2 linked regions of the Pelodiscus sinensis genome follow. The protein of the gene in region 1 interacts with the protein of each later gene in a pairwise test. Links are inferred from orthologs where the notes say so. Each region holds a gene or a part of one and is shown on either strand. Other genes may lie near its edges.

Region 1 (10,103 bases):
AGGGGCCCACGAAGGCAAAAGTGCCTACGGCCCACAAAAGTCATAATGCTGCCCTGCTTCAGATGACCCGAGTATTAGAAGTCCAGACCCAAGAATAAGTAAGGGAAGGTGAGTATGTGGGGGGGAAATAAGAGAAAACAAAATAGTGAATTGGATTGTTCAAGTTACAAGAGGCTGATAAGAACAATTTGCACCTCTATAAGCACCGGTTGGTTAAGTCATTAAGATGTGTAAGGTACCATCTACATGTTTTTGTTAGTTTTTTAAGGTGCTGCTAGGCTATTTGTTGTTTTTTAAGTTTTTCCAGTTACAGACTAACTTGACTACCCCTCTGAAGCTCTAGAAAGGGAGTGGGCAACATAAATGACTCTCCTTCACCTCAGTGGGCCGCAGCCCACAGCTCATTGGGGGTCCACATGCGGCCTTACTGGACTCCTCCATGTGCCTCTCCCACACTGGGGCACAGGAGCCTCAGACTTACCTGCTCCTCCCCCTCCCTTCCAGTACTTTCAGAGGAGCTGCAAATTGCCTAATTTGCTCTCAGTACCTGCTCTTCCCCCTCAGTCCCAGAGCTGGAATGCTGCATACAGCTGATTTGCAGCATTCCAGCTCTGGAAGGGTGGAGGGGGAGCAGAAATGGAGGGTGAATAAGGTGATTCATGTCTCCTCTGAGAATGTTGGGAAGGAGTGGGAGGAAGAGGAAATATGGGCTCTGGTGCTCCAGTGGACCAGAAGCTTGTGGGGGAAGAGGGCAGCCAGGGGGTCAGTGGACTACAGGTGGAGCCCCAGTTGGCCGCATGCAGCCCATATGACGTAGGTTGCTCACCAATATTGTATAGCATTAGTTACTAATATGGAATTATATTCATCAGGTTTCTATGATCATATAATGAAAAGCCATATTATTATGCATATTATGGCAAAAATACAGCTGTGAGAACAGTACTTCTGCATATATTACTTTTTCAATTACATTTCAGTGTAGTATTAAAATAATGGTTTTGCATTTAAGTGCTTAAAATGTAATATTTACAAACAGTAGCCAACTCCCTCTCCATTGCGAAACTATTTGTGGAGTTTATCATCTTGTATTCTAACTCACATCAGGGGCTAGGCCTCAAAAACAGATGCCAGAAAGATGGCTTTAAGTCACTTTTGCCCTGTTACTCTCTTGTTGCACTGAGCATACCTCAATTAGAATAGAGAATCTGTCTATCTGTTAACTCCTACCCATTACTACTGTGGCAGATACGGCAACTTGCTGCAATAGCCTGTATAAACATGGGTGGAGGGCATCATAGGCAGGGGAGGGCAATGCCTTCTCAAACTGCCTCACCTGGCTCTACCCATGGTCCACCAGAGTCCCCCAGGCTCCTTCCCATTTGCTCTTGCAGTGACAGAGGCTGGGACCTGCAGTGTCACCTGCCTTCCCCATGCTGGGGCTAGTGACTTCGCTGGTGGGGGTGACTTCCTGGTTCTGGGGCATTTTTGGAGACCATATAGTAGGCATGGAACAGGCAGGCTGGGGCTGTGCCTCCCAGCTCTTGTCTCTGGTACCTTGCGGTAGGGGGAGGCTGGAGCCATGGTGCCTGCTGGAAGCCTGGGGCCAGAGGAAGCTGCAGCCATGCCATCAACCAGCTCTCTGCAGCTCCAGGATTGGGGCAGGCTACAGCTATGCTGCCCGCTGTTCCCCTGAGCTTTGGCTGGGGTAGGTTGTGGTCACACCACCCACCTCCATCTCTGGAGACGTTCTTTGAATCTCTCTAGCCAGGGGAGACTGCAGTTGTGATGCCTGCTGGCATTCGAAGGCCAGCGCAGGCTGGGGCTACATAATCCTGGGCTGGGGGCATTACCCTAGAGCCGATGGCAAGAGCCACCTGCCCCATGGAGGGGACTGGGCAGAGGCCAGCAGTGAGGGAAGGCTGGGCCATGGTGGGCATAGAGGAGATGGGGCCTCAGGTGGAAGGGACAGGGCTGCAGGGCTTGCCTCCCCAAGACATGGGGTCACTCACTGCCCATGTGTTATAAATCTTATTGAATTATGTTTAAGAATCTTAGGAGTTCAGTGTATTAAAAATACAAATGTTTCTGTAGTTTAATGGGATTATATGTAATAAGTATATGGAGGAGACCTGACTAACATAAACCTTGACGCACTGTGCGCTTGAAAGGACAACTTGAAACAACATGAACCTTTAAAAGTGAAGTGGGTTTTCCAGGAAATATCTAGGGGGAAGTGTAAATGAATATAATTCCTCTGGTTGTACTTTTAGCCTGAAGAGGGGATATTTTGTGTGCTGATCACCTGTTAATTGAGTTCAGATCACAGCCCCAAATTATATAAAGAAGTGATTTCCAGATTCATAGGTGTGTTTGTCATGAACTTGTAAGAGCAGAACAACTGCCTAGCGAGTTTGAAGTGCTTTTTATCTGTTTGATCTTTTTCGCATTTGGGTGATCTCTGGCATGAGCATACTTTCATTTATTGTTTGTAATATCCAGGTAATACTTTCACCTTAAAAATGTGCTTGCTTAAAAAGAACTGAGACAATCTATGCTCTTTATAGCTTGAGAAAAGCAAAGCAGGGCTCCTGAGACAGTTTGTCTTGCTGGGGAATTCAATGTAGACAGGAAACAGTGCATCTTAGAAAAACCCTGATCAAAAGACAGACAGAGGCATCAATCTCCAACTCAAATATGTGATGGCCAGGGAAACAGAAACATAAGCACAGGTGCATTTGCTGAACGCAGTGGAGTAATACAGCCACAGTTGCCCTGAACTGTGGCAACCACTAAAAGGAAAAAAGATTTCATACACTTGCAAAATCAGGAAATGTAGCTTTAGAGTTGTAGGTGATGATGTCACCAGTGATGCAGTACTTCTGAATTTGTTGCAAGAGAGGATTGCTGATTCATTGTCTGTTTGATTAAACAGTTCAGGGCAACTGTACCTTTAGTCCACTACTATGGTCCATTGGTCCAGTAACAGGACTCATGCTTAGGTTTCTAGCTTGCTGGCCAACACCTCTCTTGGGTGGAGCTGATTACTGCTGTCAGGTTACAGGTGCAGCAGCAGAAGATGGTGCAGTTTGTGAGTTGCTCTCTGTGGCAGAGGATCCCAGACTCCATTTTGTCTTTCTCAATCTGAGAGACTGCCTGCCTGGTAGGCTCCTCTGACACACAGTCTAGGCTGGGAGAGCCATGGAGCACCTAGAGCCACAAAGAAAAGACTGATCTTTGGGACTCTGCCTTCCCAGCTGTATCTGGTAGGTCTACCTTGCTCCAGAAGAGAGGGGACAGCTAGGGATTCATAGATAAGGGCACTATTCCCTTTCTTCTGGCTTCAACACCATCATCCAGCTATGTCATAAAGGCATGACTTCATACACCTGTAGTTATTGTGAAATATGGACTTGAGTGCTGCCTTTGAGGACCTGGGCCTTAGAGTTTGTCCACAGAATTAGTATAAAGAAAGCTGGAGTGTAAATCTACAGTGCACTAATCTGCTTTGTATTAAGTTGCCATGTGGACCCTGTTACTGTGTACAGTCTAGGCTACGTCTAGACTGCAATCCTCTTTCGAAAGAGGGTTTTTCGAAAGATACTTTAGAAAAAGCCTCTTTAGAAAAAGAGCATCTAGACTACGACCAGTACTATTGAAAAAGCAAGCCGCTTTTTTGAAAGAGAGCACCCAGGCAGTCTGGATGCTCTCTTTCAAAAAAGCAGTTTGTATTACATAGAGCCTTTTTTCAAAAGAGCACTTTCAAAAAAAGGCGTTATTCATCATAAAACGAGGTTTTTCATGGTCGAAAGAACTGCCGCATTCTTTCAATTTACTTTCGAAAGAACGTGGCAGCAGTCTAGAAGCAGGGGAAGTTTTTTCGAAAAAAGGCCACTTTTTAAAAAAAACCCTGTAGTCTAGACACACCCTTAAAGTCAAAGCACGCTAAAGAATGTTCACAGGAACTGAGTCCACAGCTAGTAGGTAGTGAACTCGAACACTGTACACTTCAGCTTGCCATGCACTATATTGTTGTGTGGACCAGCACTTAGGCTAGGTCTACACTGCGTTTTTTCTGCTTTTTTTTCCGGAAGAGGCTTTTCCGACATTTGGCCCATCTACACGGGGCCAAATGTGGGAAAAACCTCCTCTTTTGGAAGATCCCTTATTTCTCATAAAATGAGGAATACAGGGCTTCTGAAAGAATGCACACAGTTTTTCAGAAACTGTTCTGAAAAAGCGGATGCGTTCCCTGGATGTTTTTCTGTCGTGTAGACATAGCCATGGCGTACAGTTGTACTATGTGCATTTTGTTACAATGGTGGATGCTTAGGTAGGACTACTATTTACTAAAGATTGTGTTGGTATCTCATTATATCTGGTATCTCAAACTTTCACATGCTTAGAACTTTCTGAAAAGTTTTCTTTTAGGGCTAAAAGAGTCCCAGGTTGGTTTTGGACCAGAGCCTTTTTTTTAAGGTTTGAGACAAATCCTGTTCTTGAGTTCAGAAAGGTGTCAACTTATATATATTAGTCAAATTAAATAGCTGGCAAATAACTCAGCACTGAATAATTATAACAATTATTAATGGAAAAATCTCGGTGGCTGTAAGTCCCTTAGTGATGGGTTGAACATTGTATTGTTAGTCTTTAAAGTATTTATTTTATGATCCAAATAAGAAATATGCCTGCATCAGTAACAATGTAACAACTTTTTTATTTTTTTTGTTTTAAGATCCAATATACCTCTATTACAGACAGTGCTAATTTCTATGAGATTCTGGTTGGAAAAAGGAAGCATGAATTCTCTTTAGTCTGGCAGGACAGTTTGTGTAACCTGGAAACTTGAGATAAATCATCAGTGAACAAACATGTCAGTGAATTAACCACATAATTGCCAGATAGATGAGTCACTAAAGTGGATGATGCTTCACATCTTGCTTCTTCCATCTCACTGACAGTTAATCGATTACAGGAGGAGGAAGAGGATGAGTTCAGATCTTATTTTGGTTTTTGGATATATTAAGAATAACTTTAAATTATGCTTTCCTAGCAAAATCTCCTTAACAAAACCCCTATTCCTGCATCATGCACTCACCTCTATTGGCTAGACACAAGCCTGATTGCTTGGTAGGTCTAAGGAGTCCTGCACACCCAGGAGCGGGAGGATGGTGCCAGGAACATGCAGAGCCCGCACCCCTCCCCGCCTGCCTGAGTTTCTGGCTGAGGGAGGCAGTTTCGGTGCTGGCTGCAGGCGGCGGCCTGGTGCAGAAGCGGGTCCGGTCTCTGCGAGGCTGCGCGTTGGGGCTCAGCGCTCTTGAAGGGGCTGGGAGCCCGGGCGCTGCGCGGCGGCGCGTTCCCGGAGCGTTCCCATGGAGACGGGGCCTGCTCCGCGAGGACCCGCTGCCGCCTGTCAGAGCAACCGGTGAGTTACCCGCCCCCGCGTCCTGCCCCTCCATTGAACCGGGGCACCCCCCCCGCGTCCTGCCCCTCCATTGAACCGGGGCGCCACCTCCCCCCCCCGCGTCCTCCCCCGCCCCCATTGATCTGGGGCGCGCCCCCCCCCCCCGCGTCCTGCCCCGCCCCTATTTAACCGGGGCGCCCCCCCGCGTCCTGACTCGCCCCCATTTAACCGGGGCGCCCCCCGTTTCTTATCCCACCCCTATTTAACCGGGGCTCCCCCCCGCGTCCTGCCCCGCCCCTATTTAACCGGGGCTCCCCCCCGCGTCCTGCCGACCCCTATTTAATCGGGTCGCCCCCCGTTTCTTATTCTAGCCCCATTTAACCGGAGTGCCCCCTGTGTCCTGCCCAACCCCTATTTAACCGGGGCTCCTCCCCCCCCGCGTCCTGCCCCGCCCCTATTTAACCGGGGCTCCCCCCCGCGTCCTGCCGACCCCTATTTAATCGGGTCGCCCCCCGTTTCTTATTCTACCCCCATTTAACCGGAGTGCCCCCTGTGTCCTGCCCAACCCCTATTTAACTGGGGCTCCTCCCCCCCCGCGTCCTGCCCCGCCCCTATTTAACCGGGGCTCCCCCCCCGCGTCCTGCCCACCCCTATTTAATCAGGTCGCCCCCCGTTTCTTATTCTACCCCCATTTAACCGGAGTGCCCCCTGTGTCCTGCCCAACCCCTATTTAACTGGGGCTCCTCCCCCCCCGCGTCCTGCCCCGCCCCTATTTAACCGGGGCTCCCCCCCCGCGTCCTGCCCACCCCTATTTAATCAGGTCGCCCCCCGTTTCTTATTCTACCCCCATTTAACCGGAGTGCCCCCTGTGTCCTGCCCAACCCCTATTTAACTGGGGCTCCTCCCCCCCCGCGTCCTGCCCCGCCCCTATTTAACCGGGGCTCCCCCCCCGCGTCCTGCCCACCCCTATTTAATCAGGTCGCCCCCCGTTTTTATTCTACCCCCATTTAACCGGAGTGCCCCCTGTGTCCTGCCCAACCCCTATTGAACCGGGGCGCCCCCCTTTCTTATCCCACCCCTATTTAATCTTATCTCACCCCCATTTAACCAGGGCGCTCCCCTGTGTCCTGCCCCACCCACATTTAACCAGGGTGCCCCCCTGTGTCCTGCTCCACCCCCATTTAACCGGGGCACTCCCCGTTTCTTATCCCACCCCCATTTAACCGGGGCGCCCTCTGTTTCTTATCCCACCCCCATTTAACCGGGGCGCCCCCTGTGTCCTGCCCCACCCCTATTTAACCGGGGCGTTCCCCCCGTTTCTTATCCCACCTCTGTTTAACCGGGGCACCCACCCCCGTGTCCTGCCCCACCTCCATTTAGCTGGGGCGCCCCTCCCATGTCTTATCCCACCCCCATTTAGCTGGGGTGCCCAGACCCCGTGCCGTGTCTCCCCTTATCGAAGGGGGGGAGGCCCAGCCCTCCCGTCCCATCCTCCCCTTGGAACTAAACAGGAGTGTTGTGAGCAAGACCCGAGGAGTCATTCTTCCGCTCTGCTCTGCGCTGGTTAGGCTCCAGTTGGAGTACTGTGTCCAGTTCTGGGCACCACATTTCAAGAAAGATGTGGAGAAACTGGAGAAGGTCCAGAGAAGAGCAACAAGAATGATTAAAGGTCTAGAACGGGGGTGGCCAACCCGTGAGATGCATGCGGCTCTTCACCCCTGAAAGTGCGGCTCGCGAAGCTCCCTCCACCGTGGCTCGCAAAGCGCCCCTAGAAACAGCCCTGGGGTCTCTGCTCACCAGGTGCAAAGGAGCTGTTCAGTGTGGCAAGATGGTGGCAGTGTTTCGGCTGTCTTCGTTTAATGGGTTGGCCTCCCTGGTCTAGAAAACATGAGCTATGAGGGAAAAGTGAAAGAATCGGGCTTCTTTAGTTGGAAAAGAGAAGACTGAGAGGGGACATGATAGCGGTTTTCAAGTATCAAAAAGGGTATTACAAGGAGGAGGGAAAATTACTCTCCTTGGCCTCTGAGGATAGGACTATAAGCAATGGACTTAAACTGCAGCAAGGGAGGTTTAGGTTGGACCTTAGGAAAGACCTCCTACTTGCCAGGGTGGTGAAACACTAGAATAAATTGCCTAAGGGGTTTGTGGAATCTCTGTCACTGGAGATATTTAAGAACAGGTTAGATAGACCAACCAAAGCCACCATGACTGGACTCTTGCAGCTGGGCCATGGGATCTGCCTCAGGAGCACGGCGGCTGGGGACAGACCACAGGAGACAGAGGGGGGCTGGAGCCAGGCTGCCATGGCCAGATGGAGGCATCTGCTGACACTATCCCCTCTCACTATCCCGCATGCTTACAGCAGTGGCTCCCAACCGCCAGGCTGCGGCCCTCTGCCTGGCTGCAGGCTTCTGGTTGTCAGGCCATGGTGGCTCTGGGGGCCAGGGCTGAAGAACACTGCTCTTGTTGTGGCTGTTGGAAGAGGCATGTCCTGCCCTGCCTCTCAGCGAGCCAGTGCTGGGCAGGGGCGGGGTTTCCTCCCAGCCAAGGAAGAGCGCACTCTTCTGTGGCCGGGAGGAGGCCCCGCTCCATGTGACCCTCCTGCCATGCAGGGAAGCACTCTTCTGAAGTCAGAGGAGACCCCGCCCCTGCCTGGTGCTGGTTGCCTGAGAGGCGGGGCAGGACAGACCTCTCCCAACAGCCACAGTCGGAAGGGCAGCACTGGATGGTGTACCTCAGTCCCAGCCCCCAGAGCTGCTGGGACACAGGCAGCAGTGCATAGCTAGGTGAGGGCGGCGAGGCAGGCACTGAGGGCTCTAGGGGTGGGGTTAGTGCTGGGGGGCTCTGCAGGCTGAGCTAGTAGTGGAGGGGCAGGGCTGGCACTGGGGGGCTCTGGGGATGGGGCTAATATTGGGGGGCAAGCATTGGGGAGGCTCTGTGGGAGGTTGGGTGCAGTGGGGCTCTGGAAATGGTAGGCTGGTACTGGGGGGTTTGGTGTAGGTGGTCTCTAAGGGATGGGGGACTGGCACAGAAGTATTTGGGATGGGGGGGCTGGCTAGTGGGGGGGCTCTGAGGGCAGGAGGCTGGCACTGAGGGGCTTGTGTGCAGGGGACTCTAGGGTCAATGGCTGGCACTGGGGGATAGTGGAGGGGTGAGTGGTTCTAGGGATTAGGGCTGGGACTGGGGGCTCTGGAGGCTGGGCTTTTGGCAGACGGGCAACATTTTATTTGCAGGTTCATCATTTGCAAAATGAATATGCAAATAAAATTTGATCAGTTCACCCCTGATTAGCTATTCATTGACTCAAATAGCGATTTCCTCCCTCCCTCCCCCTCACTCTATCTTCTGTACTAAATCTGATTTGTCAGTTTAATAATGTGTTCACTTTTTTCATTGTATTCCTTTGGTATATATGGTCATGCCAGTTCTCTTCCAGAATATTATCTGAGGAAGTGGGTCTGGCCCATGAAAGCTCATCACCTATTAAACCATCTTGTTAGTCTTTAAAGTGCTACATAGTTTTTCCTTTTGTTTTTGGAAATATGTAATATTTTTGTATGTTGAGTGCCACTCTCCTTCTCCTTATGCCTACTTGATCCTTCCAAAATACATTATAACATTGACTTTAACATTCCAGTGTGAATCATCTCACCTGGTTTCAGTAATATCAATGAGATTGAATTTATGCTCACAGATCAGGAATTTCAGTTCCTCTTGTATGTTAACCAGTCTAGTAGCTTTAGTGTATAGATTATTAAAGAGTTTTTTCTTTTCATGTTCTTTGATTTCTTGATTAATTTCATTCTCAACATATTGATTTTGTGCAGAGTGCCCATTTCTTCCCTCTTTTTACCTTCCCCCTTTGTTTAATCCTTTCCTGTCTACTCGCCTGGCCCCAAGGAGATGGCTCTCCCTTTTACTGAGTTGGAGGCCAGTCAAACTACATAACCCCTTCCTTCCAGAAAAATAGGATCCATATTCCAGAAAATATCTGTTTTATACCACTTTTCTTGCTTGTCATTCACTTCCAGAATCTTCTGCCTTCCTTTACTTGTGGGACAGGAGGAATCTCAAAGAAGATTGCTTGGACAGTCTTCTTCAGCTCACATCGGAGTTCCCTGAAGTAATCTATTAGTTTTTGTAGTATTTCATAAAAGCATTAGAGTTTGGATTAACATAATCTCAGGTCCATAGCTGGATCCTGGATTCTCTCACCTGAGAATACCTCATCCTTGGCTCTTACGTGTTTTGTTTTGTGGTACGTGTTGACGCAGAGAAAGGCATCTGTTTCAGTTCATAGATTGAAATGCATGTAGCTGGGATTTAACTCATGGTTTTGAATTTGAGATCAAGCCCTTAAACTGGTAGTAGAAATGAATGGGGTACCAGAGGGACTGAAATAAAATCTCTATGTGCTCATGAACACATAAACAATAGAGAATTCACAGTTATTCTTGAGTTTTGTATTGTTTTCACATCCTGCTTCAAATACACTGAAATACAATAATCTAGTCTTGGATGTGACAGATGCATTGATCACTGTGGCCAGCTTCTCATCTGGGAGGAAGAGATAAGGGTTGCACTCTGGATCTGAAAAATCCTGCTTTTAGCCACAAGTGATACCTATTGAGAAAAATTTAAGCGATTCAAACAGGACCCCATTCTGAAAAAAGGGAGCTGTAGACAGAATTCTAGTTAG
Region 2 (10,678 bases), on another chromosome or scaffold:
AGTAGTTGATGGAAATTCCATTGACTACTAGATTAGTTGATTAATTGAAATTTAACATCCTTAGTTGCAGCCAAGTTCCCTTCTTAGAAGCAAACACTGCTTCCACCCTCCTGATTTGAACATTAGAACCATTTGAGCTCCCAAATAGGTAACAGAGGCTTCATCTATACAAATAAAGAGGAACAATTTTCGAACAGATGTCTATAAAACATTGTTAATAGCACCTTCTGAGTGACATACACAAGTAATAACTTTTTTAAATCCAAGGGAATTGGCATGGTATAATAACAAAATAATATAATTGCATCCTTTGACAAGGGAATGCCTATGCGCCATTCCTCACCTGCCCCTTGACTTTTTCTCCATTTTTTCCTCCAATCTTGGGTCCTTTACAATCAACTTCACTGCTCTGTCTGCAATGGAATCTCATATGTTAGCAGTCAAACACCTTTGGATAATATATAAGAATTATTTTGAGTTACTTTGATGAATCAGTGGTGCTCACATGACATGTACATTTTGTATAATTTCTTAGGTGCACCACAGCCACTTCTTGTACAAACTCCCAATAATAAAATAGTATACAAAATTTCTATATGTTCTACTGGTCAGAATGATGGACTGCAGAACAGTCATGACACACTGATTTTATCAAGCTGATTTCAATAGACCTAGTTAAATAAGTGTCTATATCACTGTAGTCCTTTTGGTGCTGCTGGGCGCCATGCGCCCAGGGGCCACGCAGGCGCCGCGCGCCGAGGGGCGGGGGCCGCACATGCGCCGCGCACCCAGGGGCGGGGGGCATGAATGGCTCGGGCTGGCCCTGGTCACTAGGCAGGTGTACATAAATGACCCAGAGGGCGCCATGGCACCTGTGGGCACCACATTGGGGACCACTGCCATATCACAATATGGTCCTAACATCAATGTGCTCAACAGACAGGTTTAGTCAAATAATTCAACTCAGAATTTTTAGTGATCCTGGCCCATATGTATTTTGTTGATTGCACATATGGAAAAGAATATGAAACATAAAAAAAGATCGGTAACTAATACAAAAAGAGCAATGTGATTGGCTGATAGGGATGACATGACATTTTGATAAAGACCAATAAAGTACACAAGTCTTATTTGTTTTCTTTATAATAAGCTGCATTCCTCAAGACAGTGAATTTATAGAGGATTATTCTGCTTTTCTGGTGATTAAAGTCAAGGAGCCTTTGGATTTGTTCTTTAAAGAATGATCAAATCATGCCAGACAAATAATACTGCCTGTACTTATCGCTCTTTGAAAAAAAATACTTTCTTAAATTAAGCGGAGCAAAATACATTTTTGTAGACTATTAGTTTGGAAAATTTAGGGGTTTTTTTTTTTTGCATCCTTAGAATAGTTTTTTTTGTTTAAGTTTGCTTGCTTTTGCTTGTACTTTTTCGAGGCTAATTTTGTCCAGTTTTGATTAACTGAAAAATACCTTCCAGATTGTGACTTTTTATTTCAAATTTCCACTCAGAGAACAGTCTTGGCTAAGTTCATAAACTCCATGACAATCAAGAGTTATCATGAAACACTGGGTCACCCCAATGATAATATTAGTCAAGATTACTTAACTCTTCAGACAACAAAGAACGTCTAAATAGAACTAATCTATCATCTAATAAACCATCTTGTTAGTCTTTAAAGTGCTACATAGTCCTGTATTTTGTTTCAGCTACACCAGACTAACACGGCTACATTTCTATCACTATAAATAGAACTGCTGCTGAATAACCAAATCCTGGTATTTATATGAACCTAGGTCCTGGTATTAGGATATACTAGTTATGACTCAAGATAGAAGGTATCAGAAATTAGATGAAACTGCCTCAAACACAAATGAAGAAAACAGAATATCAAAAACAACTAGCCCCCTTGTTTCTGTAATGACCTCAATACAAAAGGACTCCTAGCCTCAACAGCCAGACTATGCATATACACGCACGCGCGCACACTCTCTAGAACTATGATAGAAATGTAGCCATGTTAGTCTAAGGTAGCTGAAACAAAATACAGGACTATGTACCACTTTAAAGACTAACAAGATGGTTTATTAGGTGATGAGCTTTCGTGGGCCAGACCCACTTCCTCAGATCAAATAGTGGAAGAAAATAGTCACAACCATCTATACCAAAGTGATACAATAAAAAAAAAGAACACATATGAAAAAGAAATCAAATTTCAGAACAGAAGGGGGATGCGGAGGGGTGGGGGGGAGGTAAATATCTGTGAGCTAATGATATTAGCTCAACGACTTAATTACCTGCATCCTGCTTCAAAAGCCTTTTAAAACTGCACTTGAAAGGGAATCCTCTGAACTGTTATTCATGCTAAAAATCGACTTTACGCCGGGGTCTTAAAGACTCTAGTTATCTTACCCATTACAAAGATAGCTTCCCCAATTATCACCTCTAATATCATTAGCTCACAGACATTTACCTTCCCCCCTCCGCCCCACATCCTCCTTCTGTTCTGAAATTTGATTTGTCCTTTTCATATGTATTCTTTTTTTTAATTGTATCCTTTGGTATATATGGTTGTGACTATTTTCTTCCACTATTTGATCTGAGGAAGTGTGTCTGGCCCACGAAAGCTCATCATCTAATAAACCATCTCGTTAGTCTTTAAAGTGCTACATAGTCCTGTACTATAGAACTACATAGTAATGCTCTAAGCCCTTGTAATAAACACAATTAAGTAATCATATTTGAGGCCCTGGCTGTAAGATAACAGTAGCAACCTATCCAGTAACCTATGTGGACATTTGTATTCTGCTAGTCTCTATGGTGTTTGTGCTTTCCCCATTTAAAGGGCTATAAATGGTAAATACAAATCTAATGTTTTTATACCATGCAAACAGTTTTTGAAAAAGGCAACACACACACCCCGAGGTGCCACACGGCACCCCCTCCCACACACACACACACCCCGAGGTGCCACACGGCACCCCCCCCCACACACACACACACCCCGAGGTGCCACACGGCACCTCCCCCCCAACACACACACACACACACCCCCCGAGGTGCCACACGGCACCCCCACACACACACACACCCCGAGGTGCCACACGGCACCCCCCCCACACACACACACACCCCGAGGTGCCACACAGCACCTCCCCCACACACACACGGCACCCCCCCCACACACACACACACCCCGAGGTGCCACACAGCACCTCCCCCACACACACACGGCACCTCCCCCCCACATACACACACACCCCCCGAGGTGCCACACGGCACCTCCACACACACACAGCACCAACACACACACCCCCCCCCGAGGTGCCACACGGCACCCCCACACACACACACACCCCGAGGTGCCACACGGCACCCCCACACACACACACACCCCGAGGTGCCACACGGCACCCCACACACACAAACACTCCCCGAGGTGCCACACGGCACCCCCCCACACACACACACTCCCCGAGGTGCCACACGGCACCCTCCCACACACATACACTCCCCGAGGTGCCACACGGCACCCCCCCACACACACACACTCCCCGAGGTGCCACACGGCACCCCCCCACACACACACACTCCCCCGAGGTGCCACACGGCACCCCCCCCACACACACACTCCCCCGAGGTGCCACACGGCACCCCCCCACACACACACACCCCCCGAGGTGCCACACGGCACCCCCCCCCACACACACACCCCCCGAGGTGCCACACGGCACCCCCCCCGCACACACACACACCCCCCGAGGTGCCACACGGCACCCCCCCCCACACACACACACCCCGAGGTGCCACACGGCACCCCCACACACACACACACACACCCCGAGGTGCCACACGGCACCCCCCCACACACACACACACACCCCGAGGTGCCACACGGCACCCCCCCACACACACACACACACCCCGAGGTGCCACACGGCACCCCCCCCACACACACACACCCCGAGGTGCCACACGGCACCCCCCCCACACACACACACCCCGAGGTGCCACACGGCACCCCCACACACACACACACACCCCGAGGTGCCACACGGCACCCCCCCCCACACACACACACTCCCCGAGGTGCCACACGGCACCCCCCCCCACACACACACACACCCCGAGGTGCCACACGGCACCCCCCCCCATACACACACACCCCGAGGTGCCACACGGCACCCCCCCCACACACACACCCCGAGGTGCCACACGGCACCTCCCCCACACACACACACCCCGAGGTGCCACACGGCACCCCCCCCCACACACACACCCCGAGGTGCCACACGGCACCCCCCCACACACACACACCCCGAGGTGCCACACGGCACCCCCCCCCACACACACACCCCGAGGTGCCACACGGCACCCCCCCCCACACACACACCCCGAGGTGCCACACGGCACCCCCCCCACACACACACACACCCCGAGGTGCCACACGGCACCCCCCCACACACACACACACCCCGAGGTGCCACACGGCACCCCCCCCACACACACACACACCCCGAGGTGCCACACGGCACCCCCCCACACACACACACACACCCCGAGGTGCCACACGGCACCCCCCCATACACACACACCCCGAGGTGCCACACGGCACCCCCCCACACACACACACACCCCGAGGTGCCACACGGCACCCCCCCCACACACACACACACCCCGAGGTGCCACACGGCACCCCCCCATACACACACACCCCGAGGTGCCACACGGCACCCCCCCCACACACACACACCCCGAGGTGCCACACGGCACCCCCCCACACACACACACACACGGCACCCCCCTCCCACACACACACACACACACACACACACACACACACACACGGCCCGAGGCACCACACCGCCCTAGCGCCGCCCACTCACAGGACCGGGCAGGGGGGCAAAGCGCCCCCGCCCTAGCGCCCCCCCGTCTGTGGAACCGGCGAGCCCGCCCCCGGGGGGCTCTTCATCGCTCCCGCCGCCGAGCGGCGCCGACCCGGGACCAACCCCAGCGAGCGGCTCTTCCCGCGCCGCCCGCGAGCGCCCCGCCCCTATCACCATGGAGACCAGGGCAGCAGCGGGCGCCCAGCCCTCGCCTCTGAGCCGACGCCTACGTTACAGCGACCTCTAGCGCCTGGGAGGAGCTCGCGCACAAGTCCCGTCGCGTCCCCTGGCCTGCTGCTCCCACGTGGCTATTGGCTATTGTGAACCAGAAGGCCCGGCAGCCCCTGGGCAAAGGACGTGATCTGAACACCCAGCTCCTGTTCTGAGTAACCTCAGACAAGCCCATGAATGGCCCAGTCTCTGGGAACACCCGAGCATGTCCCAACTCCAGCCCCAAACTAGCAGCAGGTTAGCAGTGGTACATGCAAGCAGAGCTTGCAATAGCATTCTGCCCTTCCAGCACCAGATAAACTGATCCTTACAGCACCTCTGCAGAGCTAGCCAATAGAATCAGAGCTGGGAAGAGAGCACACATGACTAAGATGATCTAGGGCAGAAGTAGGGTGTGGTACACAAGATGATTTTGAGTGGCACATGCAAAGAAAGCCTAATGGCTTGCGGATCAAGCTCAGCTCTCCCACCCTTCGCTGTTCCCCCCCTTCCCCAACCCCACAATGGGGAGCCTGTGCTTGTGATCCAGCATCTAGCTCCCACAAGATTGGAATCAGTACCAGCTTCCTGTGGGGGCCAACCCCTTCCAGCTAGCACACAGCAGTGGCCGTAAGCACTCTCAGGGTGGGAGGGTCAGTTCCTGGCAGGTGTCAGAGTCCAATCTCTCGCCAGTGTGGGGGTGTGGGAAGAGAACAGCCCAGCTGAGTGAGGGGGGACAATGGGACAGAAGATGTCAGGCCAATCAATCACTGATCACATTATGGTCACCCAGCATAGTGTCACCGGCTCAGCCATCTCCAAAGCTGGATGTAGTGGTGATGCACATTGAGCATGCAGCGGTGGAAGTCAGCTAAAATGCTGAAGGAGGTCTGGGCTTTGGGGACTAGGAGCGGTACATGTGCTTCTTCCAGCGCTGCCTGCAGATCCTGCCCAGGGCTTCTGTTCCTGGAGACCAGCAGGTACCAGCCAACCTGCTCCTGTCCCCTTTCCTGGACAGACACCTACGAGCATCCTGTGCCTGACCCCTCTCCCCTGGCCAGACACTCACCAGCACCATTCTCCTATCTACTCTCCCTCAGGATCATACTAAATGGTAAGATCTGCATCTTTATTGATTTATTAATGAAGCTGCTAAAATGTAAGTAGGATTATTATTGACTTTTAGAAAATTTCATTGGCACACAGATCCATAAATAGAAGTGATTATGTTCAATCCTGGCATGCCACTTCTGAAAGGTTGCCAACTCCTTTTCTAAGGACTTTGGGATTGAAAACTGTTACACTAACATAAACTAATTATTTATTCAGTTCATATATTTATTATTTCTTACTGGTTTTGAGAAGACAGGTCATTCGGAATGACTCTCTGTGCTAATCATGTACTTAATCTGACAGGGTCTTTCTTTCTAAACCTAATAATGTTTCTCTCAGACCATTTGCTAATCTTCATACCCAAAATGTCACGTCCATTCATTAACCCAGAGAACTCCTATACTTCAGTACAGGCAAAATTTCCAAGAGTTTTTGCCAAGAGAGAAGCCATCTGCCAATATCCAAATAAAGAATTTTGGAGCCCTGTGCACTATGGCAATTGAGGAAATCCCACCTTCCCTGCCACTAGGTCCCAGAGAAGGTGTTGAAAAGCAAGTCTCCCCACATTCAACATGTAGTGACTATTCTATACTGCTGGCATAGCTCCCTACTCCGGTTTTTTGGGGAGGGGGGGGTTTTGGCTTTCTGCACATTATTTAAGTAGGCCCTCCACCTCACCCCTTTTCTATACTACTGTGTGATTTGTTTTGGTTTTCCGACTGCACTCAGAAACCCTCCAGAGGGTACAAGTGCACTAAGTGCTTTTTAATTAATCTGGACCATCTTCTGTAAAAATCTTCATGACATTGCTTTGAAACTTGCTTTCTCAGTGCAAGATATATTAAAGAGTACAGTCCTGAAGCCTTTATGCACACAAAATTCCCATTGAAATAAATGTTATCTGCCTAAAAACTGTAAAATCAGTCCAAATTCAGCATAAAAGGGTGCAGTGTATCTTGATACAGTATTGCATTATGTTAATCATCTTTTTGCCATAGCTGTAGAAAGAGAAAAATGTAGTCTTTCATGTATATTGCTGCTTTCTAGAATGTGTGGCTACCTCCTGTTTTGTAATATGTTTTAAGAAATTATAAAATAGCAGTCTTGCTTAGGATGCAGAGATATTTACAAAAGCTACAGTTAAACTAGACGTCTACGTCTACACTGGCCCCTTTTCCGGAAGGGGCATGTTAATTTCAGCCATCGTAGTAGGGAAATGCGCGGGGGATTTAAATATCCCCCGCGGCATTTAAATAAAAATGTCCGCCGCTTTTTTCCGGCTTTTAGAAAAGCCTACTTTGAAGTAGGAATAAGACCCTCCGGAAAAGGGCGCTTTTTCCGGAGGATCGGGGCCAGTGTAGACGCTCTTTTCCGGCTTTTCTAAAAGCCGGAAAAAAGCGGCGGACATTTTTATTTAAATGCCGCGGGGGATATTTAAATCCCCCGCACATTTCCCTACTACGATGGCTGAAATTAACATGCCCCTTCCGGAAAAGGGGCCAGTGTAGACGTAGCCCATAAGTTTGCAATCCATTTCAAAGGACATAAGAACACAAAGGTCCATCCAGTCCATCTCATCCAACAGTGGCCAATGCCAGATGCCCCAGAGGGGGTGAAAAGAACAGGAAATCATCAAATGAACCCTCTCACATCACCAATTTAAATTTTCAGACCCTGACAAACAGAGGCTAGGGACACCATTCCTACCCATTCTGGTTAATAAGTATTGATGGACCTAACCTCCATGAATGTATCTAAAGTATTTTACAAAATCAATTAAAAAAAAATCCATAGATAGGTTAGTAATCTACACTGTCTTTGTTTCAGTACTCCTTTCCCCCTCACATTACAAGTTTTTTTTCCTTATAGAAAGCTGATTTTCTATAAAGGTTCAGAAAAGGACAACGAAAATTATTTGGGGTTTGGAACGAGTCTCATATGAAGAGAGATTAAAAAAAGGAGATTACGGAGCGATATGATCAGGGCTGGACTAAGGGATGGGCGAGCTGGGCAGCTGCCCGGGGCGCCAACTGATGGGGGGCGCCTGATGGCAGCTGTAAGGGGCATGCGGCGTCCCTTATAGCTGCCATCAGGCGCCGCGCACCCGGCTCCCGTAGCACCAGCCCCCCCATGCCCATGGCACTGGCCAGCAGCGCCCTTCCCGCCACAGCCGCAGGGCCCTTATTCCCACAATCTAAGAACTAGGGGTCACTAAATGAAATTAATAGGCAGCATATTTAAAACAAAGAAAAGGAAGTTTTTCTTCACTCAATGCACAGTCAACCTGTGGAAGCCCTTGCCAAAGGATGTTGTGAAGTCTAACAGGGTTCCAAAAAAGAGCTAGATATATTCATAGAGTTTTGGTCCATCATTGGTTATTAGCCAGGATGGGTAGGGATGGTGTCCCTAGCCTCTGTTTGTCTGGAAATGGATGACCGGAGAGGGATCAGATGATAGGGTTGTCAGGTGTCTGATTTTGAACTGGACAATCCATTATTTGAGCTTTCTGTCCAGGAAACAAATGGAGAAAATAGAAATGAGAAACTATAAATGTCCGGTATTTTGTAAATAAGATGTAATGTAGATTGTGATGTAATGTCGAGCGATCTGGTATTTTTGTTGAAACCATCTGGCAACCCTATCAGCTGATGATTATCTGTTGTGTTCCCTTTTCTCTGGGGCATTTGGAATTGGCCACTGGGCTAGATGGACCTTTGGTCTGACCCTCTATGACCTTATGACTTAAATAGAATTCGAGTGGGTAGGAAAGATGCCCCTAGGCTCTGTGCTGGGCCCGCCCCCCAAAAGCAGCCCACCTACAAACAAGGAAAACAAGACGCCTGTGCAGCAGCTCAGCACTCGCGCTGCTGCCTATCAAGTCCCTATCAGTGTGCACGTGGCCCTTAGCCACAGCCCCTCCCCCGCAGCATGGGCAGCATCGCAGGGCTGGCCGCTGGCAGTGCCTGAGCAGTCCTCGCCATCGGTCAAAACCATCCGTTGTCTGTGGGGAGGGCTATAAACAGAAATCCGTGATTCTCTCTTGTTGCTCAATTGAAGGAGGCGAGACGTCGCCCTTCCGTGGAAAGCTGCGCTTTTCAGTCAGGCAACACAGCGGGCAGCCCCGCCGGGGCCGCCGGGCCGCGCCTGCGCGGTGACTATTAAAGGGGGCGGTGAGCCGACTCCAGGTTACGGTGGCCGAGAGGAGACAGAGTGCGAGAGTCGGGTAAATCGGGAGAGGGCGCGCGAGTAAACTGGAGGAGGAAGAAGAGGGGGAGCGGCGGCGGCGCGAGCCTGGGGCCGGCGAGCGGCCGGGCGCGGAAGGCGGGAGCGAGCCCTGTGTGGCGGGCGGGGGGAGGGGCGGCGAGAAGCCGGTCCCCAGCAAGGCCTGGTGGTGAGGAGCGGAGGGGACCTCGCCTGCCGCGCGGTGAGTCCCCCTGGGCCCGCCCGGGCGTTACCTGCGCTCGGCGGGCTGCTTCCTGGGCCTCCGCGCAGACCTGTGGCCGGGCTGGGGGGATGCTCAGTCGGGTCCTCTCAGCCATGGGGGGGGGGGGGGAGGGGCTGCCTTGGCGACCGTGCGTCAGGCGTCCCTCATCCCCATCCTCGTTCTTCACTTCCCCACGGCAAGCTTGGGAGCGGCCGAGAACACACAATACCCGGGTGGATGAGCTGCTATTGGCCGTGATGATTATGGGGGGGGGGGGGAGATGTGTGTGGGGGGGGGTTAATAAAATTGTTGCTTATTATTATTATTTATTTATTTTAACAGTGCTGGAAGCAGAGGGATCTGCTCTGCGACCCATGGTTTGGGGACCTGGACCGTTCCATGGTATGCATATTTATCTGTGGTCCTGTACGGTGCAAAATGGGGTGCAAGTGACTCTCTCAGACAGCTTGCGTAGGGGCCTAGGACTGCCCGGCCTGAGGGAAGGGGGCTTCCTATCCAGTCCTTCTCTTTCATGAGCTTTTCCTTCTGTACGCTAATTCTATCCCTATGATGATCTTTGTGGCTCTGAAGCAATTTAAGAGCTCTGTTTTGAACCACAGAGGAATTCAGGCACCTAAGCTAAATTGAAAGCACTTGTTCTAGGAACTAGACTCTCTTACTGCCAGTTATGGTTTAGATATACAGAACAACCAAAACATCAGTCAAAAGCTGTTATGGAATGTGATTGTTAGCTGTAAGTTGGTGACAGTGTTCCAAAACCTGTAAGGAAGGTGTACCGTAAAACCTTCAATTATACTGCCTATTTTATTAACATAATTCTGTATTTTTAATTAGGTCAATAATCAAAGGCTTTCAAATAGACATGGATAAGAGAGGGGCTATAGGAGAAGTTGAAAATGGAGACTCTTTTCTTGACTTGGACAGAATAACAGTAAAATCTCATCGTTACACAAAAGTAAGCTAACTTTTTTCTTTAAGTGTTTTTATTAAGCAGACTTAGAGATGGATTGAAACAGTATCAAAT

Evidence for each region. The genes of interacting proteins can lie anywhere in the genome.
Region 2: the proteins of CCDC57 (region 1) and SFI1 interact in a two-hybrid assay, tested with the Homo sapiens proteins (2 studies listed by BioGRID). The two-hybrid records come from large-scale screens. The link is inferred for Pelodiscus sinensis from reciprocal best matches to the Homo sapiens genes CCDC57 and SFI1.

The regions. Positions count from the first base shown.
Region 1 is NC_134730.1:30,397,122-30,407,224, reverse strand, and holds the start of CCDC57 (coiled-coil domain-containing protein 57), read left to right. Parts: upstream 1-5,295; 5' UTR 5,296-5,425; intron 5,426-10,103. UniProt on the Homo sapiens protein: Pleiotropic regulator of centriole duplication, mitosis, and ciliogenesis. Critical interface between centrosome and microtubule-mediated cellular processes. Centriole duplication protein required for recruitment of CEP63, CEP152, and PLK4 to the centrosome.
Region 2 is NC_134725.1:8,272,125-8,282,802, forward strand, and holds the start of SFI1 (protein SFI1 homolog), read right to left. Parts: upstream 5,044-10,678; 5' UTR 5,010-5,043; exon of another isoform or gene 4,887-5,009; intron 449-4,886; exon of another isoform or gene 414-448; 5' UTR 367-413; coding exon 344-366; intron 1-343. Other genes in the region: EIF4ENIF1 (eukaryotic translation initiation factor 4E transporter), read left to right, coding at 10,517-10,609. UniProt on the Homo sapiens protein: Plays a role in the dynamic structure of centrosome-associated contractile fibers via its interaction with CETN2.